Linked DNA regions of Arabidopsis thaliana. The protein of the gene in region 3 interacts with the protein of the main gene of each other region in a pairwise test. Each region holds a gene or a part of one and is shown on either strand. Other genes may lie near its edges.

What was found.
Region 1: the proteins of WUS (region 3) and HAM3 interact in a two-hybrid assay, tested with the Arabidopsis thaliana proteins (one study listed by BioGRID).
Region 2: the proteins of WUS (region 3) and HAM4 interact in a two-hybrid assay, tested with the Arabidopsis thaliana proteins (one study listed by BioGRID).
Region 4: the proteins of WUS (region 3) and HAM2 interact in a two-hybrid assay, tested with the Arabidopsis thaliana proteins (one study listed by BioGRID).

What each region holds. Positions count from the first base shown.
Region 1 is NC_003075.7:54,988-63,269, reverse strand, and holds HAM3 (GRAS family transcription factor), read left to right. Parts: upstream 1-3,774; 5' UTR 3,775-4,164; coding exon 4,165-5,841; 3' UTR 5,842-6,130; downstream 6,131-8,282. UniProt on the Arabidopsis thaliana protein: Probable transcription factor involved in plant development.
Region 2 is NC_003075.7:17,301,247-17,309,516, reverse strand, and holds HAM4 (GRAS family transcription factor), read right to left. Parts: upstream 3,760-8,270; 5' UTR 3,458-3,759; coding exon 1,997-3,457; 3' UTR 1,869-1,996; downstream 1-1,868. Other genes in the region: HVA22K (HVA22-like protein K), read right to left, coding at 47-119, 201-296, 402-465, 627-678, 831-928, 1,342-1,400, 1,686-1,748.
Region 3 is NC_003071.7:7,806,196-7,814,517, forward strand, and holds WUS (Homeodomain-like superfamily protein), read right to left. Parts: upstream 4,617-8,322; 5' UTR 4,477-4,616; coding exon 3,981-4,476; intron 3,379-3,980; coding exon 3,290-3,378; intron 3,199-3,289; coding exon 2,905-3,198; 3' UTR 2,676-2,904; downstream 1-2,675. Other genes in the region: AT2G17960 (uncharacterized protein), read right to left, coding at 6,185-6,259, 6,644-6,934. UniProt on the Arabidopsis thaliana protein: Transcription factor that plays a central role during early embryogenesis, oogenesis and flowering, probably by regulating expression of specific genes. Required to specify stem cell identity in meristems, such as shoot apical meristem (SAM).
Region 4 is NC_003074.8:22,407,811-22,416,585, reverse strand, and holds HAM2 (GRAS family transcription factor), read left to right. Parts: upstream 1-3,922; 5' UTR 3,923-4,218; coding exon 4,219-6,090; 3' UTR 6,091-6,346; downstream 6,347-8,775. Other genes in the region: ATG8G (Ubiquitin-like superfamily protein), read right to left, coding at 19-71, 301-356, 432-468; CDS5 (cytidinediphosphate diacylglycerol synthase 5), read right to left, coding at 8,347-8,426, 8,498-8,613, 8,681-8,775.

The DNA.
Region 1 (8,282 bases), on a different chromosome or scaffold from region 3:
CATCTCTAAGAAGTAAACCCCTAAATGACCTAATCCGATGAATGACCTAATCCGATGATCGACCTAGTTCCCGATGTACTTGAAGATTCTCTGTTGCCTTTTACTCACAATATTATGCATAACCCTATTACAAAGATGATCAGTGTTTACATACAACTATAAACTTTTTCATTCTCATTTAGTCTCATTGTATCACCATTCATGAATTCATCATAGAGATTAGAGATAGATAAAATATAGAGAAATTTTCAATATCATGTAAAACCATCCCCGATAACCAAAACCGATGTAAATCGTTATTTGGAAAAACATTTTTACAACCCCGACGTAAACAAGACTCACTGTGAATTTATAAGACTTGCTATGGTCGTGAGTCAGAGGATCCACTGGTGATATATAATTAATCTCCATAGAAACTAGTAAGTCTTATAGATTATTCTACAAACATAGAGAATCCGTCGGTCTTGTTTATTATTTGCTAAGTTTATTCTCTGCTTTATGAAATTATTTTCTCATTCTTTTCTTTACTCCAATGAACCATTGTACTTTTCAGCTTTCTTGACTTTTTTTTTTTTTTTTTTGGCTATTGATGGTTCAGTGGATTAAAGAAAACAATTTTAAGTACAATGTTGCCAAGAAGAATCAAAGAGAAAACACTTGGTTTAAGTAAGAGTATAACAATAACAGACAATTAAAGAAGAATCATATGCATATAGGAGACAAATCATTATTCTCATCATCGTAGATAACATGGACAGGTTTATCGACAAAGTCGTTGTCTTGAACGTAACAATCTCGATCATAAGTAGGCTTCTCCACGAAATTGTTGACATGAACGTGACAATTCCTCGTGAAATCATCCCCAAATCCGGCTCTTTGTTTCACATTCTTCAAACGATTAGACACCGAACTCGTGTAATGAGGAGGTAAAAAAGTTTTGCATAGCTTCTCCTTAAGTTTATCCCATGATTTAATAGGATTCTTGCCAGCTCGCTTGCGTGTTTTCTGCTTTTGTTGCCACCATGATGCGGCTTGCCCTCAAAATTTCTTAATCACAAGCGAAACAAATAGATCATCCGAAACGTTTTGAAACTCCAAAATTTCTTCAATCTTCACAAGCCAATCTAGTAACGAATCACTAGAGATTCCACCATGGAGCTTGGGAATATCAAACTTAAAATTGGTCGCTCATCTCATGTCTTTCACAGACATCGCTGCAAGGGAATCAAACCACTAGGAACGACGTGGCTCTGATACCAACTGATAGAAAGCGGAAGCTAAATAACAGACAAAAACGCAAGATTTTCAGGAAAATTCAGATTCACGAACGGATCTTTTTTAGAACGTCAAAACTTGACAAAGAGGCAATAGGATAGGGTCGAGATCGGTAGCGATATCGACGAGGTTTAAAAAGTCATCCTTGCAAGGTTTGAACACAAGCTTTTAAGGTTGAGAGTCCTCCTCTCTAGGCTTTATACAAAGCTCTCTTAAAACTCTTTATTCAATAATCAATAGCTAATTCATTCTACAACGTAAGGTAAGAATCATAAACAAAACCTTAATTCTTAAAAGAAGTTAAAAGCCCAATAGGTAAAGCCTATCTCTTTAATAAAATCCATAAACTACTAAATCATGAATGAGAAACAATAAAGAGGTTTGGTCACGACGAGGCCCATCGAAGGCGTGAACAAAGCAAAGATGCGTTGCATCACCCATGGAGGGACTTTCTCCGTTAGAAATGCTCTAAGAGACTTCTGTATTTTGGAGTGTCATTCGATCATAGTAATTTTTTTTTTTTTTTTTGTTGTTGTTGTCGAATCATAGTAATGTGTTGTCAATGATCAAATGAGAGTTAGATTATGTTTAAGGAAATGTATATGATTAAAGAAATAAGGAAATTCCTTTACCAACTTTATATTGTGGTAATTGTTAATTACTTCCCGCCGATCTTGGTTTTTTTTTTTTAATCATAATTATTATTACTTTGGCTCTAATGAGATGAAGAAATCTTCTCTATTTTTCTTTATCCTTATCAGTCCCATGTGATCTCCTAATAATAATTGATCAATTTTTGTCTAATCTAACTAATCATCATCCTAAAATCTAATACAAAATGAACGACGCAATCATTTATATATGGTTACATGCATACAAACTCTAACACGTTATCCTTCAATATAAATTATTGTTTGACAAGATTAATATATTTAGCTGACTTGTTTCTTCCTCTAATTATGGCAAAGCACGATTCTGTTCATCATACGAACTATCCGATTGAGTGGGGTTGGGTGTGTTGCTTGTGATGAAGGGTGCCTTGAGACGAGAGAAAAGAACATGTTTTCACCACGTAACTTACTTCACCCTCACGAAGTTAACACACACATATATTTAGTATTCCAATATACCAAATATTATATTAATATATCATGAAACTTGAAAATGTGTTGGTGTATTATGTATGTCAATAAGAAATAATATTAATACAGTTTCGCGATCATTTCAAGATTTATAATAATTTTGTATAAGAAAGAAAAGTGTGAGAAGTAGTTGTTAGCAAATCACATGGGAACATATAAACTAATTAAATCTTAAAAATGAACATTTTAACTTTTTGTTGTTATATAAAGTAAGTTAACTATCAATAATCATCAAATATTTATGGTACTTAACAAGTATTATAATATGGGACTAAAAATTACTATACAAGAAACTGAACTCTGTGTTTTTTTGTGCGGTCATAATTCGCATATAAAAGATAGATTCAGAATCTGATATTGTTTATACTTTTTTTTTTTTCTTTGATATTGTTTATACTAATGAATTGGTTTGCATAGAAAAGTAAATGCTTTTTCATTATCATGAATACATGATAATGAAACTGTCGCCATTCATTGCAAAATTGGTCCGATTTTAATCTGTCTTCATCAATTACCCACCTCTCTTTCTTGTTGTTTTTTCTGATTGCTTTATTCATTTATTTATTATAGGGTTTTCCATTGGTAGATATATTTATATATGTATATATATGGTGATTGGTGACTTCCATTGTCTGCTCAATAAAGGACTACCACTCGTTCTTTCTCAATCTCTCGTGCATTTAACTTGTCACAGAAGAAACATCATTCACAGATCTTCAATCACTTTTTTCCTTCAAACGAAAAGATGTACCAAAGAAAGTATGTTTTTATATACACGTAAATATATATATAACTCCTTCTTTGTTATAAGTAGTACATGAATGTTTCAGATAATGACGATCATTCGTATCTCGTTAAGTTAAAACAAGAAAAACAAAACAGATATTTTTGATGTAACTCCAATATATACATAGTTTTTGTTTCCACTTTGTTTAGATTTATAAATTTAGATTATGTCCGTAGCAAAAAAAAAAAAAAAAAGGAAACACAAATTAATATAAGCACTGCAATATGTGGTTTAGCTCGTACAATGGATTGGGTGATTTGAGTGGTTAATTTGATAAAGATGATCCAAAAGCTTGTCCAAACCCTAAAACAAACTATTGGGGACAAAGATCACACAAAAGGAAATAACGACAGCACCTTTGAGATAAAACAAAACAAAACAATATCCCAAATATAGTTTGCAAGCCACAAAGTTTTAATCATGAAAATAAATTATAAGAAAACAAAAACATTCCCAATATATTATGACATCCTTTTTTTTTTTTGGGCAAGTATTATGACATCTAAATATACAGTACAACATCAAAAATATGGGGAAAATGTTTTTTTTTTTTAATAGTTTCTAGTAATTCAAGAAGACAAATACAATATTTAAAAATATATCATAACATTTAGTATTTTTGTTTACCATCATGTTCATGTCACTGAAAGGAGTTTGCAAGCCACGCGCGTGATGTAAGAGTGGGGTTGTAATAGAAGACATAGTTAAGATTAGAAAGCAAAGATTAACAAAATGTTGTGTAAGAGAAGCTGATGAATTGTTTAATCAGCTAAGTTAATGACAAAGGCAAAATGATAGGAAACGGAAATAAGAGAGAAAAAGAAAGGAGGAAGCCCACTTTGCCACTTTAATATCTTGCACGCATCCAATATACCTCACCACACCACATCACAACAACGAAGAAGAAGAAGAAGAAGAAGAGCTTCAAGAAGACAAATACACTATTTTTTATCGTCTGCAATGCCCTTACCCTTTGAAGAGTTTCAAGGGAAGGGGATTTCTTGTTTCTCTTCTTTCTCGTCTTCCTTCCCCCAACCACCGTCGTCTCCGCTTTTGAGCCACCGCAAAGCAAGAGGCGGCGAAGAAGAAGAGGAAGAAGTTCCCGCGGCGGAGCCTACCTCTGTTCTGGACTCCCTCATAAGCCCAACCTCTTCCTCCACGGTGTCTTCCTCTCACGGCGGAAACAGCGCCGTCGGAGGCGGCGGCGACGCCACCACCGATGAGCAATGCGGAGCCATTGGGTTGGGTGATTGGGAGGAGCAAGTTCCTCATGACCACGAACAGAGCATTCTCGGACTCATCATGGGAGATTCCACAGATCCCTCTCTTGAACTCAACAGCATTCTCCAAACATCTCCCACCTTCCACGACTCTGACTACTCATCACCCGGTTTCGGAGTCGTCGACACCGGCTTCGGTTTAGACCACCACTCTGTTCCGCCGTCACATGTTTCCGGTCTTCTGATCAACCAAAGTCAAACCCACTACACACAGAATCCTGCGGCTATCTTCTACGGCCACCACCACCATACACCTCCGCCGGCAAAGCGGCTCAACCCTGGTCCCGTGGGGATAACAGAGCAGCTGGTTAAGGCAGCAGAGGTCATAGAGAGCGACACGTGTCTAGCTCAGGGGATATTGGCGCGGCTCAATCAACAGCTCTCTTCTCCCGTCGGGAAGCCATTAGAAAGAGCAGCTTTTTACTTCAAAGAAGCTCTCAATAATCTCCTTCACAACGTCTCCCAAACCCTAAACCCTTATTCCCTCATCTTCAAGATCGCTGCTTACAAATCCTTCTCAGAGATCTCTCCCGTTCTTCAGTTCGCCAACTTTACCTCCAACCAAGCCCTCTTAGAGTCCTTCCATGGCTTCCACCGTCTCCACATCATCGACTTCGATATCGGCTACGGTGGCCAATGGGCTTCCCTCATGCAAGAGCTTGTTCTCCGCGACAACGCCGCTCCTCTCTCCCTCAAGATCACCGTTTTCGCTTCTCCGGCGAACCACGACCAGCTCGAACTTGGCTTCACTCAAGACAACCTCAAGCACTTCGCCTCTGAGATCAACATCTCCCTTGACATCCAAGTTTTGAGCTTAGACCTCCTCGGCTCCATCTCGTGGCCTAACTCGTCGGAGAAAGAAGCTGTCGCCGTTAACATCTCCGCCGCGTCCTTCTCGCACCTCCCTTTGGTCCTCCGTTTCGTGAAGCATCTATCTCCGACGATCATCGTCTGCTCCGACAGAGGATGCGAGAGGACGGATCTGCCCTTCTCTCAACAGCTCGCCCACTCGCTGCACTCACACACCGCTCTCTTCGAATCCCTCGACGCCGTCAACGCCAACCTCGACGCAATGCAGAAGATCGAGAGGTTTCTTATACAGCCGGAGATAGAGAAGCTGGTGTTGGATCGTAGCCGTCCGATAGAAAGGCCGATGATGACGTGGCAAGCGATGTTTCTACAGATGGGTTTCTCACCGGTGACGCACAGTAACTTCACGGAGTCTCAAGCCGAGTGTTTAGTCCAACGGACGCCAGTGAGAGGCTTTCACGTCGAGAAGAAACATAACTCACTTCTCCTATGTTGGCAAAGGACAGAACTCGTCGGAGTTTCAGCATGGAGATGTCGCTCCTCCTGATTTCCACCGGAGTTTCAATTATTAAAAAAATATTTTCCTTAATTCAATTTATCTTAAATGACAAATTTTTAGTTTCTGATTTTATTTTGCTCAGTGCGATGGATTTTTAAATTTAAGTTTCACACAAATATATAAATTTTTGTGAGAAGTTAATTAATTGTCTGATTATCAAACACTTATTGTATAACACATTCAATATATATTAATTGTGGGGATTATTTTTGATCGACTAAATAACGTGATAGAATAATGCTTGGATTAGCTCAATACTATATTTTTCTAATTAAAAATGAATGGGGTGTTGATTTTGATGCGAGGCAGAAAGCTACTGCTCATTATTGTGATTATATGATTATATAATGGTTAGAGTTTGTTGTGGTTTGTGTCTTTGCGAGGGGTCTATTTTTAATTTATAAACATATGTCTCCATGATGTCACATGGGTCTTGTATTATTTTATTTATTTGGACCACAATACATTTTTGTGTGCGCCGTTTCTAACCTTTTTTTTTCTCCGACGAAACAAAGGTTTGCTTTTTCTCCTTTAAATGGTCCATACGCATTACATATATAATGCGCCCATTTGCTTTACGCATTAACTGCATTTCTCTATAGAAATATTTCAGAAACAAACCAAGTGTATACAATACATCAACATGTTTTTTTTGGGGTTTTAATGTGAAGATTTCATTTCAATAAAAAGATTACAAGCTAATCTAAGTAATACAAACCAACATATTTTGGTTTACTCTTTATATTAAAACATCATTTAGGATAATTATTTAAAATATATATTCAAACATCTAAGGTCCTAATTAAGCATTACAAAAGATTTCCGTTTTAGAAACATATCAAGAGTTGATTAAATGGAGAAAGACGACTAAAATTTGTGAGTGAAAAATGACAATATGCCGCAAGTTATTGTCTCTTGTGCAATAAACGTTGGTTGGATACAGACACATTTGATTGAATGTGAATAGTTTAGTTTTGACAGATCATAAGCCGTGTCCTCAAGCAGAAGACCGGTCGTGATCGGTCAATCTACACGTGTACGGCAGAAACACATGTGTCGTTTCCCTGTGAGAGATGATCAACCAAATCAACGGTCAGTTTTTGTCAACTAATGTGTGTATTGATTTGTAACATGCCTACGTGAACATAAGCTAGTCACGCAACAAGCAAGGCCTGGGTCACGCAGGCTCGGCTCCACTAAGACGCGCCGACGTAGTCACTCATCATATATCACATGTCTAGATTCAAATGGTAACCGTTTGATGAGCGCAGTAAGTAGAAACATTGACCGGTCCAGGCGAGGTCTAGCAAATACTATTAGAATTAAAATTGATGTAATCAATCACTGATAAATACTATTAGAACTACTCTACTTTACACTCACGTATTCCATCATTTAATATACATACGTGAGTGTAAAGTATTTCTTCACAATTTATTTTTGAAAATAGCTTTTAACCCATAGCAAATGCCTATGTTGCCATGGGGTAGACGGGACTGATCACACATCGAAGCATACTCTTGATAATATATGGACAGGGAAATACATATTAGAAAGCTATCAAACTTTCTCTTCCTTTTTTTTTTGTTTGCTGGGTTTCATCTTTCACTATATTGTATGTGTGACATGTCATTAAGAAATGAATAACAACAGGCTATTCATTGCTTTTTTCTATTCATTGCTTACAAAAAGTAAAATGATGATAAAATACGCAGCTTTTGGTGTTATTTGTCCTTCAACTAATTGAGTTATCATTTTTCTTTTACTCCTTTTAGACACCGCATATGTACTTTTGTCTCAAAGAAGACTCTCCTAGGAGTTAGGAAGATTTTGATTTTGTTATAATCAGACTTTAACTCACATCTGTCTTCCATCATCCCACTGTTTTTCAAGTATTTTATTATTAGTTGTTAAAAACTTCTACGTCCAAAATCTCAATCACTACGAGTATTGCAATGTTGATATTGTGCGTTAAATGTATATGTATATAATTCCAAATTTCCAACAATTGGTTTATAAACGATGGCACTAACATAACCTCATATATTGTGATACAACGAAAGGCACCGGATGGTGGAACGCATCACGCATCATGCATCCTCGATCCCTTTTCAAAGTGGTATGTAAGAGATCATTATTTCAACATAACATACATTTGCTATGATGACGCATTTTAGTCAAATTAGTTGTTTGTTCAATCATATTAATAAGGGTCAACAGATATTTATACGAACTGTAATTAAAATGATAAAATCCAAAGCGACAAGTTTGCTACTACCAAATGTGTGTTTAATATATATAATTTAGAAACATTGAATTTGAGAAAATGAGTATACGGTTGCACAAAAGAAGAAGAAGAAGAGGAGTATACCAACAAAAGGTTGTACGTAATATAATTCCGACCCCCTAAAAAGATATATAATAAGGTG
Region 2 (8,270 bases), on a different chromosome or scaffold from region 3:
GCAAAGTATTACACTAAAGATAGAAAATTAGAGTTCCGAAACAAACCTGATCCCAAGATTTTGGCAATCATTGCTCGGACAAACCGTATTTCTCCTTGGTGTGACCTAACGACCTTCACCTGCAGTTTTTTGTTTTGTTTTAAAGCGTTAGTTAAAAGTGACTGAAGAATAAGGGAGTTCAAAAGAAAGCAATCGTGTACCATTTCCCCATATACACCATCCACAAGTTGGTCCACTCTAGCTTGGTGTCGTAAGAGGAAAGGACGGATCTGGTTGTTGTATATCTGTTTTGATCCCTGTTGTCGGCAAATAAGAATATAGAGAATATCAGAACTGATGAGTACCACGGGTTAAAGCTGCCTACTCGTTAGATGATGGTTTAAAGAGATTCCGATAGGTACCTCAACAGTTGGGAGTTGAAGCCAGACGAGGAACGCAAACTTCACATGATAGTACAGCGGGAACCTGCAAATAATCGAGGTTATTGAGTATCAATACTTTGCGAGTTTATCGAGATAATCAAGCCATTTCTCTCGATAAAGTCCATTAGAAGAAATATCTTATTTGTCTAACATAACAGCAAAACCATCAAGATATTGTATATAGTTTCAAGATGTCAATCATACCAGGAAATGATCTTGTCCGTGAACACTTCAACAAGGCTGAAAGAACCATAAGCTGCAAAGAAGGTGAAGATAGAGAAAAAACCCCATCAAATTCCATGTGAAAGAAGGCCAAGGGAGATTGAAAAAAAACTATTGAAGATAAACAGTCAAAGAATAAGGAAAGCAATTAGAAAGGTCATAACAATTGCAGTAACAATATCCCACCTGCCCAGTAAATAAGCATCTTTTGTTGTTCATTCTCATCTCCACTCTCAATTGCCTTGAAGGTAGAGTACACAGGCAAACCGATGCCAATGGAGCAGCTGCAGGAAACAAGTTTCAGACATACCACACAAACGTGTCCTTTATAACCGAATCCTTTAGTCAACTACAGCTATAACACCTTCTAATAGAGAAAATAACCAAAAACTCGGATAAAACAAAAAGAATCCAGATTCCCCAACAATAGATTGACCCTTGTCCAAAAGATACCCTAAAGTATCACAACAAGTAGAATAGAACCCTTGTCCACTCGGCTAAGTTAATAACTATGTCAACAAAAAAAAAAAAAAAAAAAAAAACTCCCTCCCTACCCCATTGCTTCACATGTAATGAGAATCACTCAATCAGATCACAATCTCACCAATCAAATCATTCCTCCAATTCATTCGTCTACCTGTACCATTGATTCTAGCAACTATATGGCTTTCTTCACCTTACAATAAAAAAAACTCACCATGCTGTACGAAGTACGATATTGGAACTAAGTGGAGAGAACAATACACGCAACCCAACCTGAAAATTCCATTGAGAAAAACAATTGTTTCTCTCAATCCAAAAGTTGAGAATATCCACATGATCAGGAATTGAAACACCTCTTTCTCTAATCGGCTTTTGTCAAAGAGTAATCCAAACAAAAAAACAATCCAGTACAGAAGAAATCTGAATTCCAACAAGGCAGAAGATGAAGGAATCCTAAATATACATATTTAATCATAAACTTTATCACGAATCCCCAAATCACGGATCGGAACAAAAGCCGTACAATCGGAAACATCAATCAAACTAAAGGAAGATTACCTCGCCGGTGAGTCCAGATCCAAGAAGCGCCATGGATGGAATCTGTGAAGCAAACCCGCTCATCGGCGATTCGTACGACGGTTTTACCAAATTGACGACGAACTCGCACACTCGCAAAAAAAAGGTCACTTGTGTTTTGAATAGAGGAGATTATGAATCATTAAAAGACTCTAGCTCATACAGAGACTCTTCGTAAGAAATATTTTTATTTCTTTATTTGAAAGATAAACAGCAAAAAGAAAAGAGATATTAAAGGCGGTAAATACAATTATTCTATTCTATATCATATTGTTAAACCAAACCCGGTTTATCTAAAACCGCCAAGCTGATGTGGCAACAAGTGCTCTTCCATGCCAGCACAGCACCAATTCTCCTTGTCGTTTCGCCACGTGGAATCCTCTAACTTGCGCTTTCTCCAATAAACACTCAGCTTGAAAGTCGGCGAACTGGCTTAGCTGTATCGGCCTCATCCCGGCGGCGCAAAACGCTTCCCGCCAAGTCATTTCGCCGGTGTGTCTCCTGTCAGCCGCCGTTTCTACCGCAGCGGAGATCTTCGGTCGTAGAACGAACGCTTCCACTATCTTCTTCACCAAATCTCCGGGAGGAGCTGCAGCGTCGAGCGACTCCAGCACCATCGTGTAGAACTCAAGAGCGCTAACAAACTCTCGCCGGAATGATCCAGATCCGGCGATCTCCGTCCATCCTTCACTATCCACGAATACAACGACCTTAGGTGATACTCTCCGTAAATTGTTAACAAAATCAGTGATTCCACTTAGACGACGAAATATCGCCGGGGAAATCAAAACGACGGTCCTCTCCCCCTCAACAAACCTAATCGCTTTGAAAGATAACATCTCAAAAGTCTTCATCAGCACAAACTCAATCTGGAAACGAATTTTCATCTCCGCCGCGAATTGAGTTAGGTTTTCTTTCACTAGTCGCGTCTCTACGGCGCACTCCTCCGCCACCACTGCCGTAACTCTTAAAAATCCACCGCTTACAGATTTCTCAGTGATTTCTCTCATAAGCGATGCGTATTGGCCACCGAATCCAATCTCAAAATCCACCACGTGAACAAACGGAGAAGACGACTGCGAGCTCAACGAATCGAGTATCGCTTGATTCGCCGTGAAATGAGAGAAGAGAGGGATCGGAGAAATCCCGGAATATTCCTTAATCGCTCGGATCCTCTGAACAATCTCGGACCAAGAAGATAACCGGATTGGATTCCGGTTTGATCCGGTTAAAAACGAACCGAGAGCTTCCTTAAAGTAAAACGCAGCTCTCTGTAACGGTCTACCCGCCGGAGATCTCAAGCGTTGATTAAGCCGTGATAAAACCACCTGAGCGAGTTGTAACTCGTCCGATTCAACACAATCCACGACTCGGATGAGATCTTCAATGAAATCAAATCCTCCATTGTCGACACTATCAAGAGAATTAAAACCGTACCCAGTTGTTTGGTTCTGACCAGGATAAACATCGGAAGACGATTCGAAATCCGACGGTTGAATCTGATCGGGAAAGCCAGGGAGATTTGAATCGACGGCGTAAAGAGGCAAAATAGTAGAATCTGTTGTGGTTGTGGTGAAACCGGTTTTAAGTGAGTTAGGAGCAGAATCGTCATCAAGCTCCAATTCTTTCATGATGGAATCCCAATCCATTGAACGCATGACATGTTCGTCCATTGATAAGTGATTACTATCAGTACTATTAGTGTTGTTGTTGTTGTTGGTCGTGTCTTGAGGAGATGATGCAGGGATTTTCATGTGTTGTGTGTTAAGAAGAAAGAAAGGTGGAGCCTTTAACGAAAAGAAAAAAAGTTTTTTTCTTTCTGTCTTTTTTCTTTGTGTGTGGGAGAAGAAGAAGGTGGCGGGGCTTTTGAAAGGTGAGAGTGGTAAGCTTTTTATCTTTGAGTGAGTGCGTGCAAATAAAGAGATTTCAACTTTGGTAACCGTGTCTGATCCGGGTTTGTTTGGTTTTACAGAATAATATTTATACACGAAACAATCTGATTGACAATGATTTGTATATGATTCCGTTTTTTATTAATAACATACTATTTCACATGAAATTCAACTGAAAGATTTTAAATCAGTTTTTATTTTGTATTAATTTCTCATAATATATCTCCAAAACTATATACTATGCACAACTAGCAACTTCTGTAGCTAATGAAAAGGAAACTTCTACAGCTCTTTAAAGGGATAAAATACAAATAAAGTTCCTCTGCTTTAAAAATAAAAATAAATCATTTGATTGAAAAGAGATCCAAGCTCCACTATGTTGATCATCAAGAATGTGAAAGTTGAAAATAAAAGAGAAAAAGGATGTTTTAAAAAGGTTAATGATTTCTCTCTTTTTTTTGTCTGAGTGGTTTTTTTTCAGTCTTTTTCATCCTAAAATTTTAAACAGTATTTTACAAAAACATTTAACTGAAAGTTTTTTTTTATTACATATGACAATTTAAGTGATCAAAAATAATCTTTCTCAAACATAGCAGCACGGCTATATGTAACTATGTTGTACCTGAGTTTGAGATCAGCGTTAAAATATTTCATATTTGTGGATATTGTTTTCGATCATTAAATCTCATACGTTTTTGACCCAAGTATGGAGATAAATAAAAAACTATGAATCTGCGTTGATTATTCCAATAGGCAATAGGTATATCAACGTTTGGAATTTTTTTTTAAAAGTAGTTTGTGTTGGACAAAAATATTCTTACTAAACAAACTCTACAACGTCGTTTTTATTCTCACTAAACCTAGTTGTTAGTACCACACAAAATACAATATTATGTATTTATTTAGTACCGTGCATATATCACATAATAATCTCAAACTAGTTACAAAAGCTAGAGAGGTTTATTCGATTGATAACCAATAAAAAAGGGGAAAATTGCATGAAACAATTTGAGTCGATGATGTTTAACGGACACTAATCCCCGCTGCTTGCGACAAAAAACAAAGGAAAGGAAAAAGGGAGTGACCACTGGGCTTTATGTGGAGCCCACATAACACGGTAAAAAGCAGGGGGAAAGTAAGCGGGTCCACAATGGGCTAACTTTTGAGGTAATAATGTCGGAGAAAATGACCGAGAAGCCCATGGGCCAGAGATTGACTGATCATTAAGTCAGCGCGTAAGAATCACGCCCACTTCTTTCTTTTGCTTAGCCCCCCACTCTTCTCTCTAACTCGCAAAGGAAAAAGAAAGAATATGTTCTCTCCTTCACTTATTGCTTTCATTTTCATGGAAATTTACCTTCCTTTTTTGTTTTCTTTCTTTTCTATTTGGTTTGGTGTACCAGAATGCAAAACCATTTCCTCAATCTTTTGAATATACTCTCTTTTTTTTTTCCTTGTGTAATTAGGAATGTTTGATCATATTAGGTTAATAACTCACCATTTTCGCAAAATATGGCCTAGTTTGCGAAATTTAAACATCATATAGTTCTCGTGAAGAAAAGCTTCTTCTCATTGAGACATTATTCAACCTTTAATATCGTGGAGAAAAGGTTCCTCTCATTAATACACCTTTTTCCTAACATAATTCAACTTTTTTTCTTACATAAGTCTTCATCTGTGTTATATAATTTAGATTTTATGCGGTATAGCGGCTCAATTAACACACTAAAATACTAAAAGTTCTTTTTGTGGCAACTTTTTTTAGTTGTTTCTCATTAAATTAATGATTAAGCCCACATTTCTGTTATGTTTTAAAAATTTAAGAGAAATAATCAAGTTTAATATTCCACCGTATGAACGCCTACATGCAATGGGATCCACTTGTATCCTAATCTCATGCTTAACAACTAGTTAGTTTATTTTCGAGGATCATACATAAAATACCATAATATTATAGTTTATATATGTGGAACATGCAAGAAAAATAATCAATGATTTATCGAACTGAAATCACTCGCCAAATTAGTTGCCTTTTTTTTGTTAGATTGAATTGCCAGTATTTTAAACAAATAATAAAATAATAATAATAATAATAAAATGCCAGTATTAGACCAATGTTTTCATTATGCTCAGAAATTATTTCGTCCACAGACCACCAAAATGTTACGTCTTGTTAGCTTGAAAATCATTACACTATCACTTTTGATTCTCGTTCATACAGCTAATTCCCTGAAAAAATGATGGCCCTATGTGTACAACTATTTTATTTAAATCCATCTGATATTGGGTAACGAACGTTTTAATTATATGCAATACAATTTATGAATGATAATTATTCTGCATATACACTAACGTCTCCAAATATGGCAATATCTTCCCTACACATGATTGGAGTTTGTCGAAAAAGAAAAGAATATTTCATAAATAATGTTGGTAATTAATACAAGTTCTATTTATTAACACACGTGATTGTATATTAAAAACAAATGAATGACGATCATATCTTATATTCCCACTCTGACAATATTCTTTTACTGATCGACCAATGGATCCTCTCGTTACCAAAATTGTCCCACTGCCAAAGGTTTCTTTCTTATTATTCGTTTCTGTGTTGGTAGTTTTATAATATGTATACCGTGATTTATACTAAGTATAATGTCTCATAAACTGTTTTTGATAAAGAAAATTTTAAGTTGTTGTGCTGACTGCTGAGAACCTGTGTAATAATATAATATCGCCAAAACATATTATTCAATTCTCATAAGTTGTTTTTAATTTGAAGGTTATGAATTTGTAAACTTTGTGTGTTTAGTATCCTGTGATTAAAATAAACCAAAATTAAAGACATGATTTGATTATCCAATCTTTTAGTTAACATGTCAAAATTCAACGTAAAATGGTGATATAGTGTTTTGTACAACTATCTGGTAGTAATATTTTTTCTTGATATAATAATTGTAATAAAATCTAAATTTTATAATAGAAAAAGAGACAGTTGTGTATTTTCTTGGGAGATAATTTCTCAAACCCCACTACACAAAAAGGTCATAATACTTAGGAAGTAAGGAAAGGAAGGAGAGGCCGATGATAGACTACACACAGACGCTTCTTCCTTCTAATCAAAAGAGAGAAGCTTCATCCTCACAAAAGCAATTTTTTTTAGTAGATTCCTATTTTATGTCATTCACAATAAATAAAATACTTAAATAGTAAAAATAAAAGATCGTTCTCCATTAAAATATCATTCCCACAAGAATGAAAAGTAGTAACGGAGAAATTGTTTTAACTTTTCATTGTTTATTTTTTTTTCTATAACTATCCGTATGCATACTACAAGAATTTAATCTAAATTTTGGATCGACTGATTGTAGCTATAAATTATTGAGTAAGTATTAAATTAGACCGTTGATATAAAAATATATAAGTATATATGTGTGTTATACTAAGTCGATCGATTGGTAAGTCTCGTAATGATTTAGTAAACATTATTCTATTTGGTGTAGATTTGTTTTTTTTTTTTTTTTTTTTTTGTCAAATGTAAATCATTTAATTTTAATTCAGTTACAATTTTCTAACTAAAATTTTGTTTATGTATTTTCGATACTGTGAATAAAGCTGGTGGTGTAAAAAATAATATTAGCGTAACATTAAATTTATAATTAAGTTAAACAAAAACATTAATATATAATGTACCGACAAAAATTGAAAGTGAAAATAAATGGAGGAGGATGTTCTATTTTGCAACTCATTGAGTAGTCACAACATGCGTTGGAAACTCTTCCCCGTCAAGAATATATTACTTTACACGTTTTTAAAATTATTAATTTACCCCCTTTTAATAATTGATTTTTAGTAAAATGATTGTTCGTGATAAAATATACTTTAAATTTTTGATGAATGGAATCATTCATTGTTTGATCGTTTACATTTAAAAAAAAAAAAATTATACGATCACATCTTTTTTTCTTATATATAGTTTTTAAGATCATATATATGATATATCATCACAACAAATTGATGTCTAGTACGTACCAACAAGTATGCTCTGTTACTTGTAAAGATGATAAAATGCTCTTAGAAACAAAACATTGTACTCTCAAAACAAAATATTTACCATCACTTGATACTGTCAAAACAATTCTTATATACTTAGTACTAGGTATTCGGCTAGCATCTCACTGATTCTAGAGGTCATCTATTTTCTCGAATAAAAAACAAATATAAACTCATCATAAAAAGGATAAATCTGAATTAATTCATTTGTACAAAGTATAGTCTTGGTCTAACAAAACGCAAATTCCCCTATATATGTCTTGCTTATGATGTTTAGGGACTTCACTAATCCATCTTAGCTATAAATAGAAACAATTTTTTATTATAAGTAAATAAGTATTTAGCATGATTGTAGAGCGTAACTTTTTCACTTACACGTAGAGCCAAACATACGAACTGCTTATGACCGTTAAGGTATGATATGATAAGTATTAGACTTGAGATCATATAAAAGTTATTTTGTCCACGAGCCAACAATTAACCAAACACACTCACGAGTCAGTACGTAACTTCACTTCCATGATGGAAGTGACATCGAATATATTTTTCGTCATCCATATAAAGTCAAACACACTTCCTAATTCCTAAATCAATTAGCACCATATAGTTAATGTCTTTAATT
Region 3 (8,322 bases):
TTAATATTTTTAATCTTTTTTTTCCCCTCAAAGTTTCTTTTCATTAGTACGAAGGTCTGAAACATACATAAGCTTAATCAGTAGACTTTCTACTTACAAGTAGAAGACTATCACTGATACATAACAACTTAATATTTTTAATCTACGCATTACTGTAAATTAATAATGGTAAAATGGAAAATCTTAATTATAAATGGATTTGGCCGAAAACACATCAGTTCGTTTTATCTGCTAAACCACTTAAATTTTCATTTTTTCAAAATATAAATATAGACATGTAGTTTGTTGGTATTCGTGTTTGGACAAAACTTGGATAATAGAGAAACTTGGATAACAAGAGAAGGAACAACATATAACGAGGCAATCCAAAGAAAAACATATCTAGTTAATACTCCATGATTAAAGTTTTCAATGTAACAATTATGAGCGTAGTTTACGAGGAAGAAAGGGTTCAAACTACAAAAAATGTACTCTTTAAAACATGGATGCACAAATGTCCCTAACTGCCACATTCATGTTTTTTTAACATACAGTATTATATTATTTTTTAATTTTTTTTTGTTAAAATGATTCTTAATACACAATTCACAATAAAACAGATTGTATAGTATAATGTACAAGATTTATAAGCAAATATAACCCATATAATTTATTTATGAGTATGTAACATATTTTTAAAAAAATTCTATCAAAAGCTACGGTCATTGAACAAGATCTATGTGACATAGATCAACTAACAAAAAAAACATTTTTCTTCCTTGTGTCATTTTAGTTCACGTGGCTCGAGGATAGCTCTTTGTAAAAGATCTCTCTGTTTAAGGAAATACTGAATGACACGCACTCTCACAACGCGTGAGCCACCTTGACGTAATTCATAGCACTAAAGAAGAACTTATAACTAATCATATATGTACTTAATTGTATCCAAAGATTACAAAGGGACATTAGTGTTACTACAAACTAATTTTAGATATAAGTGTTAAAAATAAAAAATAAAAAAATTGTAGTGATCAATCAGCCATTGATGGTCATCATTAACTTTGTCGTTTTGAACGAGATGGAGAAAATAAAAACATTTCATATCGTCATATCGATGACCATCATTAAATAGTTCAGATATAATTAAACATACCAACTCGGCAAAATATTTTGTTAGTTCCATTTAGATCTGTTATTCGTTTAGATTCGATTCAAAAACTTTTGACATCTGTAGTTTTATGAAACAAATTGAATATTAAAAATTAATATCATATAACCCATCTAGTAAAAAATTGATTTCCGTTTTGCTCTCGTATATATATACATATGTATATAGCTAATTCCATTATAATTTACTTTATATATTTAACTTTTATAAATTTTGTTCATCAAATTAATTATTTATTTAACTACTAGTTTTAAAAGTTAACGAAATATTTTTAATAAAATTTTGCTATTTTGAATTTATTTTTTGAGTTTTTTTTATATGTTTTTCATTTTTTATAGTTATTTTTAGTTATATATTAAGCAAATACTTCTGATTTTAACGGATATATGATGAGTTACGGAACGAATACATATCAGATAACTAAGAGCATATCACAAATACCACCAAAATCGAGGATATTCATTCCCTAACTCATCCCTAGTATACATAACAAACATTTTGGAAAAAATAAGGGTAAACGAGATCGTTGAATGACTAGGGTTCAAGGTTTTTCACTATAATCTTAATTTTATTGATAAATGTTATTTCTTTTTTCTTAACAATTTAAAATTGTATTATTTCGAAAAGTATTTATGAAGTATTTAAACAACAACAAATTCTAACTTATCAATAACAAAATTTGATTTGAATTGTAATGGTTTGCTATTGTACCATTTTGGCCTACTTTGCTGTAGGTTTTAAATAGAAATATGAACTTAGAAGAAACCCCTATAAACTTATTACCCTCCCATATAGTTTAATCTTATCAATAAAGGGTTCGAGGTTGCATTTTTTGGGGATAACGACCAAAATCAACCCCAACTATTTTGATGCGGTCTTTTTTTAATTCAAATTTTGGTCATCTGTATTTATCAACCTAGACTTACATAATTTTTAAATAACAAACTGAACTGTGTAACATATACATGTTAATGTCGATTTGAATTGTTAAGTTAAAATTATCACTTATTTTGTATCTAAATCATTCCTTTTATTTAATTGGCTAACGATTAATATTAATTTATAATGAATATATGTTGAAATTGGCTAACGGTTACATAACTCAGATTTATTATTTGAAAATTGTGTGAGTTCGGATTGATAAATGCATGTAATCAAAATTTAGGTAGGAAAAAACCGCATAGAAATAATTGAGATTGATTTTGACCGTTCGTATTGATGTAATCAAAATTCCATGATTATCGATAGATCAAGCTGATTGCATAACATGAAGAAGAAGAAAACTTCCACTGAAAAGCAACTTGCTTGTTTTAGTTTTGAACTACCAAAAAACATTCAACTGTTCACAAGTTCTGTTGTAAAACAACTATTGTTGATTTCGGTTCAAGATCACGTTGTAATCGATAATTAAGATCATAACATTGTAATCAAATATAGTACATCTCTAGCATTTCTTTCATGCCTCCGGATCTGTGAGGAATTCCTTTTTAAAAATTTACTGAAATAGTCATTTCTTCATAGTAGTAATTAAAATTTTAACTTATTCATCATAGAGATAAAACGGTTGTCAATTACAATTAAAACCTAGACGATACTTAGCTAGTAATTACAAATTACACATAACGAGAGATAACTAGTTAACTACTAATATAACAACTGCATCATTAATCACTAGCGAAGCATAGTTGTGAACATACGAGTACGAAAGAGAGAGAGAGAGGAAAGAGCTTTAATCCCGAGCGACACCGGCGTAAGAGCTAGTTCAGACGTAGCTCAAGAGAAGCGCAAGGGCGAACTTCCGATTGGCCATACTTCCAGATGGCACCACTACCACCGTTGATGTGATCTTCACCGTGCATAGGGAAGAGAGGAAGCGTACGTCGATGTTCCAGATAAGCATCGCCACCACATTCTTCTTCTTCTTGATGACCTTCTAGACCAAACAGAGGCTTTGCTCTATCGAAGAAGTTGTAAGGTGCAGATGAGTAATGATGATCCATGTTTGCCCATCCTCCACCTACGTTGTTGTAATTCATAGAACAGTCTTGTTCCTTCACCCAAAAATTTCAGTTTCATTAAATTTCTATTCATATATGTAGTATAAATATTATTTGAATTAATGAATTATAGTTTGGTACGTACCATAGATCCATAGACATGGCTACTCATGTAGCCATTAGAAGCATTAACAACACCACATTCAGTACCTGAGCTTGCATGATTTAAATTCCCTTCAAACATATTAATATACGTATCATCAGTGATCATATATGTTGTGATTCCAGAATCCAGACCATACTATATACAGGGGAAAAGAATGAAGAAAGAGACATAAAATTAGTGATTTTTTTTCTACTAACCCAAATCCCTAATTGTGTTACAAGTCACAAATGAAAATAAAATGCACGTGAGTCTAGTTTCCATTACACAACAAAGAAACCGTTCTTTAGATGCAAATTTGGTTTGCCCCAATCAAGATCCATAACTTCAAATATACGTCATTACATGTACATAACATCTTCTTGGGTTTAATTATTTTTACTAATTCATGTAATAATAGATGGTGTGTAACATGTTCCTATAATATATATTTTAGATTTTTAAATCAAAACCATCTGAATAAATTCATAAATCAACAGCATTTTTTAAAATCTTTTTAACAATTAACATATACATATATCTATCAAAGTCATATATGTAGATCTTGTTAGTTTTTTTTTTTTTGTGTGTGCTAATTCATGTAATAGCTAGTGGTGTAAATGGTTCTCTTAGTAATTATAAAAAACCACCTGAATAAATTCATAAAAAAGCATGTATAAGAGAGATTAGTCACCGTTATTGAAGCTGGGATATGGCTTGTTATGATGATAGAGATGATGGTCTTGGTTAAGTTTAACGTTGACGGAATTAGCAGGTCTCTGCATGGGAACACCGTGATGATGGTGAAGTAGAGGATGATAATGATCGTTAGCCGCCATCATAACCGAGTTGGGTGATGAAGATGGTGTGGTCATGTTTGTTCCGTTGAATCTCTTCTTCTGACGCTCACGAGCCTTATGGTTCTGGAACCAGTAAAAGACGTTCTTGCCCTCAATCTTTCCGAACTGTCTCAGCCTTGCAGTGATCTTCTGGATCTGATCGGCTGTTGGTGACCGGATTGCATTGTTGTAGTAAAGTTCTTTGAGGATTTTGATTTGCTCCGTCGTCGGTGTCCACCTCGTGCTGGTCTGGCGACACGTGTAACCACCAGAGCCGGACTTGTTGTTGTTGTTGTTGCCGCTTTCTTGGTCGGCTTGATGATGATGATGCTGATGCTGTGGCGGCTCCATGTGTGTTTGATTCGACTTTTGTTCACAAAGTTAACGGTAAATAAGATCAAGACTTAGAGAGGAACAAGAGAAAGAGAAGTTTGAAGTTAGCAAGAAAACAACTTGCTGGTAGTAAAGAGATTTTAGGTTTTGTGTGAGAGAGAAGATTATATATATATAGAGAGATAGTAAGGTATTGAGTTATATATATAAATGGGGACCCAAAAAGAAGGTTTTACAATATTCTAGAAAATCAGTTATTCACTATATTATTCTTTTATGCATGTAGATATGATTTCATACATACAAAACCCTATTGAAAAATGTGCTTGGATATAAGAAATAAATTTTGCCAAAGAAAAGGATATAAGAAAGAAAAATAATCAATTGAATTAACATTCAAATAAAATGTTATGTTTAGGAAGGAAATTCTCTTGTCAAATATATTATTTGATTTTTTTTTATTCAGAGGAAAAATCGAAACTACTCTTGAGAGTTTTAGTGAGAATAATAATAATTTTTATGAAAAAATTTGTGGGGGATCGAATCAGAGGATATCTGGTGGAGAAGGATTGAAAGGGACAGAGAAGTTAGAAATAAACATGAAAATGGAAAGGGACAAAGGAGGGAATTAGAAAGGTGAGGGCATCATCGGTATTTACTTAGACGAAAAACAAACTCTCTTTTTTCAATTTCTCTGTCTCTTCACAATTATTACTTCACCAGCTTTAATTGTTATGTATCTGTCTACGTATGAAAGATATTTACCCATACACACAGAAAACAAAACAAAAATTCTAAAAGATCGTTATGAATTATTGTATCGTAGGAATGAAAGAAAACGATTATAATTTTTTTCTAGAATGAATAATAAAAAAAGTGAAAACCGTTTGATCATAAAAATACATTTTTCCTTCCTTATGGTCATGAGTCATGACACATAGGTGATATAGGATATTTTTCGTGGTGATATCGTCCGGAAATGTGTTGAAGAAATACTCTATATAATTTTACTTATGCTTTGCTTTAAAAGATATTAAAATTTATGTCAATTACAATGTGTGAAACGAGTGTGAAGACAGGTGTACTTATGAACATGTTGAGTATTCTTTAGTTAATTATATGCTCGAATTTATAGGAGCATGGATGGATCTTTTTGTATAAATGCGTGATTTATTCATTTTTTTTAAAAAGTTTGAAGGGCTTTGTTTTAGTGAATATGACTTTTGTAATTGAAAAGGAACAATACCCAACTTTTGTATAGTCTTATTGTTCTACGTAACAGCCACATATTGTATATAAAAGATATATAAAGATTTTTTTAGGAATCTACAAATTTCATAGAAGCTATTATAGTTTTTATGGGGAATGGCCCTGAAGATACGGCTGATAAAATATTTATTTTTTTTAAAATAAAAAACCAAAGATCCGATCACTGAAGTTGCTTGGCTATTTCATAGTATAGTTTTGTTTATATAGCCCCCATGATTTCTCGGATTCAACACAACGTGCAAAGAGTATCGGAAAATTAAAAATAGGTTTTACAAACTAACTATTGTAACTATTAATATTTGGAAAACAATCTAAGGATTGAAGTCTTAAAAAATTTTTTTTGTTAAAAGGTTAAGTCTTATAATCTTTTATCACCTAAATAAACTCAGTTGTATCCCAAATTTTTGTTGGTAAAGAAAGTATTTAGTTAGACTGGTGGATTACTCATTTTTTAACTTTAGTCGATTATATTGGATAAACTTTTGGATTCCATCCAATCGATATATCCGATTTGTAATGTCGTTTGGCATTTCTATCGAATCAACGGTCCAATATTTTTATCCAACTAGGAGATTACACCAAGTCACCAAACTATAAACTAACTAACAAATGATAAAATCATATCTCTAGTTGGATTGTGAATGTCTTTTGACAAGAAACAAAGAATGTCTTGTTACTCTACATGCGTATGCAGTGTATATATAGATGTACACTCCATGAGGATTATACTTCTTCACTATAATAAAGCATAAAGTTTGAAGTTAAAAAAAAAAAAAAAGATGTACACAAGCAACTACATGAACATATGGTCACATTTACATACTGGTTTTTTTTTTTGGTAAAACTTTACGTAGTGGTTGCTACTTAGAATACTCTCTATAGGCCCTTTGATTTATAAACTCCTATGAGTACGTACGGTAACGAGCATGCAGTGAGAAACAGGGGATCTTAATTTACGCATCACGATCTTTTTCATTGTCGTAAAGTACTGTTGAAGAGGCAGAGGGCTAAAAGACGCAGAGCTTTTGTAACTAATGTCTACGTGGCCCCTAAAGCCACTCTTCTTTATTGCAGAGATTTCATTTTCATTTAGGGCATCATTAGTTTCAGTTTGTACTTTTGCCCTAATTTCATGAAAACGTTTATAATTAGCTTTTATTATTTTGGTTTCCCGGAAATTAATGGGGGAAAATTGGGTTTGGAACATGGTCCCCTCTACGATCCGAGCCTTATATTCAGTCTGTCATATGTTATTCGCTATTTACACCTTACGTTACACTGTTTATATGTTTAGAGCATTTATTGAATTTTTAATTAGTTCATCAACGTACAACATTAGTGTTTGAGCTTTCAATATTCGTCAATCGTCATGACTTGATTGTAAGAAATTTTCCAGATATTATGCCAATTTATATTTAATTTATAGACGAAGGTAGTTTGTATGTTATTTTCAACCTAAGATCTTGTAAATATAAATCGACTAGATTTTAACCCGCGATATAACGCGGGACGATTTATTTTTTAAAGGTAATATATATTAAAACTTGCTAATTTTATTTTTATAAAATATTTATATTTTACAGTTTATAATTGTTATTAAGTAACACTATACCACGAATACATTAGACAATTGTTAAAAAACTGAAGTTTTTAACTCTTATCAAAACAACATATTAATAAAATTTTATAAATATTCTAAATATTGATTAAAATACATCTACCATATAACCCAATTCCAAAATAAAACCCGTTCTGTAATTTCTTTACCCGTCCCTTGATTTTTTTTAAAGTAGTAATTTTTAAAATTTAAGAATTATTTATTATATATATAAGTTTTGAAAATTTTATCATTCTCTAATACATTTATATTTTATACTTTAATTTTATATATAGTAACATTATACATACCACATAACATTTTTAGTTTTATATACTCTTTTCTAAATTAGGATGATTTGATATGTTTAATATTAGTGGTCTTAAAAAAAAAAAGATTAAAGATTTAACCCGTATTGAAACGGTGGATTAATTATATTTTACTTTTTTATTAATGTTGATTCAAAAACCCGTCCCTCCAGATCCGTCTTGCCAAAAAGCCATTTATTTTATTAATATTAATTTTATTTATGATATGACTCTAAATTATAATCTAAACATTTTAGCTAATAACATAGGAGTGCACCATATTTATTTAATAAGGAATGTACCATATGACCCGAATGCACTTTAACCCAAATCCACCTAAAAGTCTTGCAAAAATACTATAAAGATAAGAAAAGATAGTCGGTTTTGATAGGTATAAGATTAGCAAATATATTAGTTAGCTTAAATTAGTTAAAGAATACAAATTGAAAAGGTATATTACACTTTATTCGAATATAGTATAAAAACTTCTATAACACAGAGATTTGATAATTTTTTAATTGTTGAATACTTTTTTTTGTGTTAATTTTTATGTGATTAAGATTTAATTGATTTCGTATATAAAAAATTAAATATGAACTTATTTGTTTATAATTTGGTAACAGATAGATATTTGAATATTCGGTATATTTTGCTTCAGTTTAGAAAATCTTTAATGACCCGTCTTTAGAT
Region 4 (8,775 bases), on a different chromosome or scaffold from region 3:
AGAAAAAGAGGATCATACTTCTTCTTGTCAATGTTTGGGATATCACTTTTCTCTGACTTCTCCACAATCACCTATTACAAAAGAGAGACATTAATATAACCATCTTATTCTGAAACTATGCATTGAACTCTCAACAAGAACCACATCTATCTATCAAAAAGTGTTATTTTTGCAAGATTTCAATCAATCAGGCCTCACAAGAGCTTCTCAAATAGGGTATATTCCTATGTGAGCAATATCAGGAAAACTAGGAAACAGAACAAAATCGATGGCAGTGACATAAGAAGAGAGTAAGAATACCGGGACTCTGTCAGAATACTTCTCTCTGATCCTTAAAGCCTCAGCTTTCCTCTTCTCTGCAATATAAATCAATCATCAACCAATCATACTAACTTAAATTACTGGAAAAAAGAAGAAGAAGATTTATATACCGAAATCATGATCCTGCCTGAAGCTGACGTTACTCATCTTCTTTTGATTCCTGAATATATATAACAAATTTCCAGAATCACCAACCCAAATAAGAAGAAAAGAAAAACGATAATTTACCAAATCCCAACACAAAACCCTAATTTTTCTACTACCCAAGTCGTAATACACTTATCTCTGTATATTCTTGTAGAAATCAAACATAAATTATATGCATAAACGAAATCAAATCGGAGAAAACTTACCTCTCTGGATTATGCGACTTGGTTAAGATCAAAAACTTTGGATTCGACTTTGTGTGATTCAATTAATCTTCGACTGCGATCGTCACAGTTATATGTGTATATATACAATTCGTGTAACCTTTTCCTTTTTTGTTTACCGAAAGATTATCGAATTAGTGAATGACACGTCAGCTGATAATTTAATTTAATCAATGCAAACCAAAAATCGAGGTAAATTAGCATGATTTAAGGAAATGTTTAAGTGATGTTGTTACCAAATACAATTGTAGTGGTTATTTATGCACTAAGGCCCATAACTAGTTAATAATAACTCATTACTCTATGAAGCCCATTATAAGTCTTCCGTATATTTGTTTTCATAGAAGATAAGAAACCCAGCCCAACGTTTTTTTTTTTTTTGGTGGTTCAGCTGAGATCAAACCAGCAGGACATATCTAAACCAGAAGTTTTTTCTGTATTAAAAGGTCAATAACTAAAGTTTAAGGACAAAAAATCTACATTGTTGAATGTTGATCATTCAAATTTGTAAGATCGTATACTTAAAATATAGTTTTAAGAGATTGTATATCATAATCCTTGACTTCAAATCAACGATGGATCAAAACTAGCTTTTTTTTATTGAACTTTTAATAGTCAACAGAATTGAAAACTGATTTATGATAGTCATTAAGATTCTAGCACAATATCCACACTAGTTCCAGGCTCGTAGCTTACGTAACGTAACCTATATGGTTATCATATACTTTTGAGGAACTCTCCCAGTAATTAAGTCATTGAAAACCAGTAGTGCCATGCGGCGGTAGGACTTTTTCGTCTAATTGTTTTTTGTAGGTTAACAATGGTTCAAACACTAATAATTTATATAGTTTCACCAAACAATTAAAGATAATACTACATGGTTGTGTTGGTTGTTGTATTGACAAATTATAAGTTCATACAATCTATCACTATCTTTACTTTTTCTTTTGTTTCCGCCGTCACTGTATCTATCCGCTAAGCGAGACAAATTTTTATCGTTTGTGTTGTAATGTGTCTCCTAAATATATAGTTGATCTAATTAATAATATATAAACCAACCAAAATGTGACATGCTTTGTTATGAATAAGAAAAAGTTACATTGTCCTTGTTTAGTGTTTGTGATTTGATTAAGATATTATGATATGACATGATTCACATAAGTTAACCCCACTAGCATTCCTGAACATAAAAATTGAAAACTTTAAATAAAGAGAAAACAGAAAGCTTTGCCCGTGAGTCGAGGTTAGCAAAGGAGACTATATACCGTCTATTTTGAGGACTTTAAGTTTATTTTGGGAAATTAGCAAATCTAAAAACATAGTGGAAGTGAATTGCAAATATGACATTTGACATAAACTGAGATAATTTGGTTACAGGGTTAATATATTTCTACATCGAAGTTAATTTTTTTACTTGTTTTATATCACTGTAACCAAATTACATGAATTTCCGTGAAACCGAATCACGAGTATGTATGCAAGGTAACACACGGTCGATGTGTCCCTCCACTAGCCAGTCATCAACCTATAGAATGTATAGAATGAGTTGATTAAATTACGCAAATTGGTCATTTTTTAATCCTAAAATATAACAACAAAGCAGAAAGAAATACTAGTTTAATAGAATACATGTTGTTAGACATATTACAAGGTGGTGGAAATTCACATGGAGGTTTCTTGTTTGTCTTGGAGGAAAAAAAACATGTCTCCCATTATTACAATGTCCAATTACAAAGATTTTTGTTTTTATATTATTTTGGCTTAAAAAATAGAAATATGTTTAGGGCAATCACATAAGCCATGTCTCCCTTCCATTCACACACAAACTACCAAAAGTTCCAACTTGTCTTCGCAATCCAGCTCCACCTCTTTTCTTTTTAATCTCCTTTTGGTATCCTCTATTCTATTACCGCCACCAATAAACGGCCACTTAAGTATTTCAAGTTTGTCAAAGAAGTGAAAAAAAGAAGAAGAAATGATATAGATGATTTTAGAAAAGAATGGTGGAATAAAACGATTTGATTATCGCAAACACGTGTAAACATCAACTAACATAGGCTAAAGATTTGTCATAATTTTAGTTTTGACCGTGTCTACTTGTCGTTCAAAATTAAACTTGATTAGCAAATGCAAGATTTTATAGTCAATATGTCATTTATTAGTTAGTTTATAAAAAATCTAGACTAGAGCCATGAGATCTTCTCCAGAGTTCATGCAATTTCAACCGTTAGATAAAAAAAAAAAACAGAGTGTGTTAATAGAAAGCAAGGGTAATTATGGAAAACAATGATTAACAATAAAGCCATCTGTATCAAATTCGCTTTTTGCTCTGAAACCTCGGTATATGTTTTTGATTTTTTTAATAGTACTGTCTTTCAGATTGATCGTTATCTAACGCGCCTCAACAGTTCTGGACTATTGAATTACTTACTGTAAGACAATCAACTAATAACTGACTCTTTTAGGTTTTTGGGTTTCGACAATTCAATTTATTTTCTTTCTTTTCTTCATACTCCTATTACTTATTTAGTTTGATCTAATGAATTATACACTATATGATCCCATATTCTTAATAAATAAGTAAATAATTTTGACTATTTTAAGTATTTTTACGATTTCGCTCTCAAAATGTTTTTTACCTGTAATTTCAAAAATAAATTTGACACATCCTTTTTTTTTTGTCAAACATTTGACACATCCTTTAAGTAAACAAATCTATTGGTTTGAAGAAAAAAGAACAAAAATCTTTTGGTTCATTTTCATTTGACCCTTGACTTAGTTTTTATACATATATAATGAAGTATATTTTTACTATCATACTATTTAATATAAAACATGTTACTGCACATATATATTAAATCACCCAATTGCTATTTCACTAAATAACAAATTATTTTACAAGATGCAAGTTTATTTTATAAATCGAACAAAATTTACGAAAAATGTAGAATAGTAATTTTGTCGATATGCATAAAATTTATTGGTTTCCTTGTTTTTTTTTTCCTCAATCCAGTGTTTTCCTTATTTATTATGTTGTCATCATAGTAATTTAGTCAATTTATGATTAAGGCTAAATTTATTCGATTAATGACACTTTGATTTCGATTTTCATGGCTTAAACTTATATAATCAATGATCTCTTGGAGAGTAAGAGTGACGCGCCGTAAGTGCGAGTAGGGTTAGAAACGAGGGGATATAAAATGAGTACAGATGTAGATAAGTAAATCTACAGACACAAGGCACCACACACACAGCAAAAACCAAATCCTTTACTTAAAAAAAAAAAAAAGAGAGCATTTTTTATGAAGATCATCACTTTGGAATGTTGTTGGAATCATCCAGAGTCAATATACATAAGCAACGAGAAGAAAGATTGTTATTAATACCGAGTGTGAGATAATGTGGGCGCCAATTTCAGTTTCAAGCTTTCATCTTCGTCTTCCTCTTTAAGTTCTGAGATCTAGGGTTTTTCTGGGTTTCTTTGTTCTCACTCTTAAATTCTCTTTCTGACTCTGTAAGATTGGTCATGCCCCTGCCCTTTGAGCAATTTCAAGGGAAGGGGGTTCTGGGTTTCTTAGATTCTTCTTCTTCTCCGGGATACAAAATCTGGGCTAATCCAGAGAAGCTCCATGGACGAGTAGAAGAAGATCTCTGCTTTGTTGTCAACAATGGTGGTTTCTCGGAGCCGACGTCTGTTTTAGACTCTGTTAGAAGTCCAAGCCCTTTCGTCTCTTCTTCAACCACCACGCTGTCTTCTTCTCACGGTGGTCCCAGCGGCGGCGGCGCTGCTGCTGCTACTTTTTCCGGCGCCGATGGGAAATGCGACCAAATGGGTTTCGAGGATCTCGATGGTGTTCTCTCCGGTGGCTCGCCGGGACAAGAACAGAGTATTTTTAGATTAATCATGGCTGGCGATGTAGTGGATCCGGGTTCGGAGTTTGTGGGTTTCGACATCGGTTCTGGATCCGACCCGGTTATTGATAATCCTAATCCACTCTTTGGATATGGCTTCCCTTTTCAAAACGCACCGGAAGAAGAAAAGTTTCAGATTTCAATAAACCCAAATCCGGGTTTCTTCTCGGATCCTCCGTCGTCTCCTCCTGCGAAACGGCTCAATTCGGGTCAACCCGGATCTCAACACCTCCAGTGGGTTTTCCCGTTCTCGGATCCGGGTCACGAATCTCACGACCCGTTTCTCACACCGCCAAAGATAGCCGGAGAAGACCAAAACGACCAAGACCAGTCAGCGGTAATCATCGACCAGCTATTCTCTGCGGCGGCGGAGCTCACCACAAACGGCGGAGATAACAATCCCGTTCTCGCGCAAGGGATATTGGCGCGGCTCAATCACAACCTTAACAACAACAACGACGACACTAACAACAATCCTAAACCTCCGTTCCACAGAGCAGCTTCGTATATAACAGAAGCTCTTCACTCTCTCCTTCAAGACTCATCATTATCACCACCGTCTCTCTCACCTCCTCAAAACCTAATCTTTCGGATCGCAGCTTACAGAGCTTTCTCAGAAACGTCACCGTTTCTTCAATTCGTCAACTTCACAGCAAACCAAACGATTCTCGAGTCATTCGAAGGGTTTGATCGGATCCACATTGTCGATTTCGATATCGGTTATGGAGGTCAATGGGCGTCTCTGATTCAAGAGCTCGCCGGAAAAAGAAACAGATCTTCATCAGCTCCGTCGCTAAAGATTACAGCTTTCGCTTCTCCTTCAACTGTCTCCGACGAATTCGAGCTCCGATTCACTGAAGAAAATCTCAGAAGCTTCGCCGGCGAAACAGGTGTCTCCTTCGAAATCGAGCTCTTAAACATGGAGATTCTCTTGAATCCAACTTATTGGCCACTGTCTTTATTCCGATCATCGGAGAAAGAAGCAATCGCTGTGAATCTCCCAATCAGCTCCATGGTCTCCGGTTACCTCCCATTGATACTTCGTTTCCTCAAGCAAATCTCACCAAACGTCGTCGTTTGCTCAGACAGAAGCTGCGACCGTAACAACGACGCGCCGTTCCCTAACGGTGTGATTAACGCGCTTCAGTACTACACATCTCTGCTCGAGTCTCTCGACTCTGGGAATCTGAATAATGCGGAAGCTGCTACGAGTATTGAGAGGTTTTGTGTGCAACCGTCGATACAGAAACTGTTGACGAATCGTTACCGTTGGATGGAGAGATCACCGCCGTGGAGAAGCTTATTTGGGCAATGTGGGTTTACTCCTGTGACGCTGAGTCAGACGGCGGAGACACAAGCGGAGTATTTGTTGCAGAGGAATCCAATGAGAGGGTTTCACTTGGAGAAGAGACAGTCTTCGTCGCCTTCACTTGTCTTGTGTTGGCAGAGGAAAGAACTTGTTACTGTCTCAGCTTGGAAATGTTAAGACGAAAAAGGAGGATATTTTCACGGTTTAATTTTCTTTTTGTAGCTTTTCAATTTGGGTTAGATCACGTTTTAATATGTTTGATTGTGATGTTAACCAATCAAATGATATATATATAATCTCCTTATGTTAGTCTTTCTTTTTTTTCCTTTTTATATTTCTGCATACTGAGATATGGATCCTTTAATACTTCATTTTTTAAGAGACAGAAGATTTGACATGTAATATGTTATAGGTACTAAAGATTAAGAGGTTTCTCAAAAAAAAAAAAAAAAAACTAAAACTTAAGCTGCCTTACACAAATTTCATTTTTCTCTTGGAAGGTCGACTATACTAAATTCGTAGTTCTTTATTCAAATACTAAGCATAGTAGTAATCCTTAACCTTAATCTAACAAACGAACACTGATAAATAAGAGATTTGTGGAGAAAGCTCTAAACCAATGCAAAAAAACTCAATCAGATCCTCAAAATGTCTTGGAATTCGAACGTGTAACCAAGAGGGTAACCAGGAGGGTCTTTGGCAGTAGCAGCGTTTATAAGTTTAGTCTTGCATTTTGGAAGTTTTTCCATGAAGATAGTAATTCCACAAGCTCTTAATAACCGGATCGGTCTTTTGAAATCGATGTCCCCCGTGATGACCATGATGTTGCAAGGAGTTTGGAAATTGGATGTGATGATATTGGCTTGTGCTGGCAAATCATCCGGCGATGTCGTGTTTACTCTCATACCTAACTTTAAAAACAAAACAAAAAGATGTAAATGATTATTGTATGCGTTTGTGAAAGTGAATCAACATAATCTTAAACAGTGGAGAAAGCTCATCAAAATAGAGTTCAAAACCACAACAGTAAATAAACATCATTTATAAATCATATTTGTACAACGATCCCGACTAACAATTTCATACACCTTAACACACAGAGCAGGCAAATAAAATATCAAACCTAAATTTCAATTACTTGTACGGGTCAAAACAGGTCACAAATACTAATTAGCAAGTATTTGCCTTGTAACGAGTCCTACACATATTTACGAAGCAAAAACTGTCATTTTTACTCACAGTGTCCCCATATAAAAATGTGGAGGTGAGTGTACCTCAAACAATTGTTTTGTGTTCTCTATATCCCACAGTACATGGAAACATAGTTTTCTAAAAATTATTATTAAAAAAATGATATTTCAGGGAATAATTTTCTTTTTAGCTTTTTAATTTAGATAATATCATGTTTTAATATGTTTGAGTGTAATGTTAACCAATCAGATAATATATATATAATTTCCTTATGTTATTCTTACTTTTTCCTTTTTTATTTTTCTGCATATTGAAATATGTTTCCTTTACCTTTATTATGGAGTATATTTTATCATTTTCCTTGAAATGTTTGTTAGAGACATACAATTTACCATGTGTTAATTAGGTCTACTAAAAATTTAAGCTAATGGTAAACAAACTTCATATTACTAAACTATGTATTAACTTGTGTTTTGGGGTTAATGTTGTAAACGATGAGATAACTTGTGTTTAAAGACTTTTTACCTTTTTAGTATAGTAAAGAGATTGCGTAATACGAGTTTTGTCCGTGTAATCAATCACATGGTCCTCGCAGAATTGCTGCTTAGATTTGATATTATCATAATACGACCACTTTATTACTTATTAATCAACCACTTTAGTAAGATTCTGCAGTGAAATTGTGAAAGTATAACATTTGTTTATTGTATTGGATAACAAAATCCACCCATGTCTTTCCTCTTCCCAATCATTTCTTAATTTTCGCCTCTTTATTAGTATCATTGATATTTGATTATTCATTTACATAGTTTCCTTTTTTCATTTCAGATTTTTTTTATAATTGCACTCTAAAAAGTCTGCTTGGGAACAACGCTTTCATTAACATCCCCACATGATTTTAGGCCTTTTTCCTTTAATCCATTATCTGGAAAACAGGAGGAAATTATTTTGGAAAGTAAATCAAGAATGAATCTCTAAATCAATTACCAAACGCCGCCGTTCCATTACCGGTCAGGCAAGACAGACCAACGGTCCGAGAATTCGCCTAACGAACCAGTTTACTCGCATTTAACCAAAAATTGCATACCGGTTCAATCAAACAACAGAACAGACCAATCTCAGAAAATCTGCAGCCATTTCACCATCATTGCTATATGTTGCTTTGAACTTCACTCTTGCGAGGGGAAAACTTTGTCAGTTTCTTCTTGAAGCTATATGTTTTCTTGGGATACAGCAATACAATCAAACTCCATGAAGTCTTACGAACGAGTAGGCTAATGCACCAGTGAAAATGTAACTATCAACTCTGTCCAATATGCCACCTGCAATTACAGAGGACTCGGTTAGAGAGGCAATGATAGACAAATTCCGGTCTGGTTTGACGTGTCATTACCGTGTCCAGGGATGAGTGAGCCGGAGTCTTTGACACCCGCATCACGTTTGATCATTGACTCAGTTAAGTCACCAAAGACCGATCCGAAGAAGTTAAGAACTCCAAAAGCTATGGTGCTGTTTAAATCGAACCAGTCAGAATAAAGACATAATAGACTCCAGGAATTCTATAGGATTTGAGTACCTGACAAGAGATTGAGGCCAGGACAACGATTTGGAGAGTAAAATGGTAATGGAAATACAACCAACAAGTCCTGCAAAAGCTCCTTCCCATGTCTT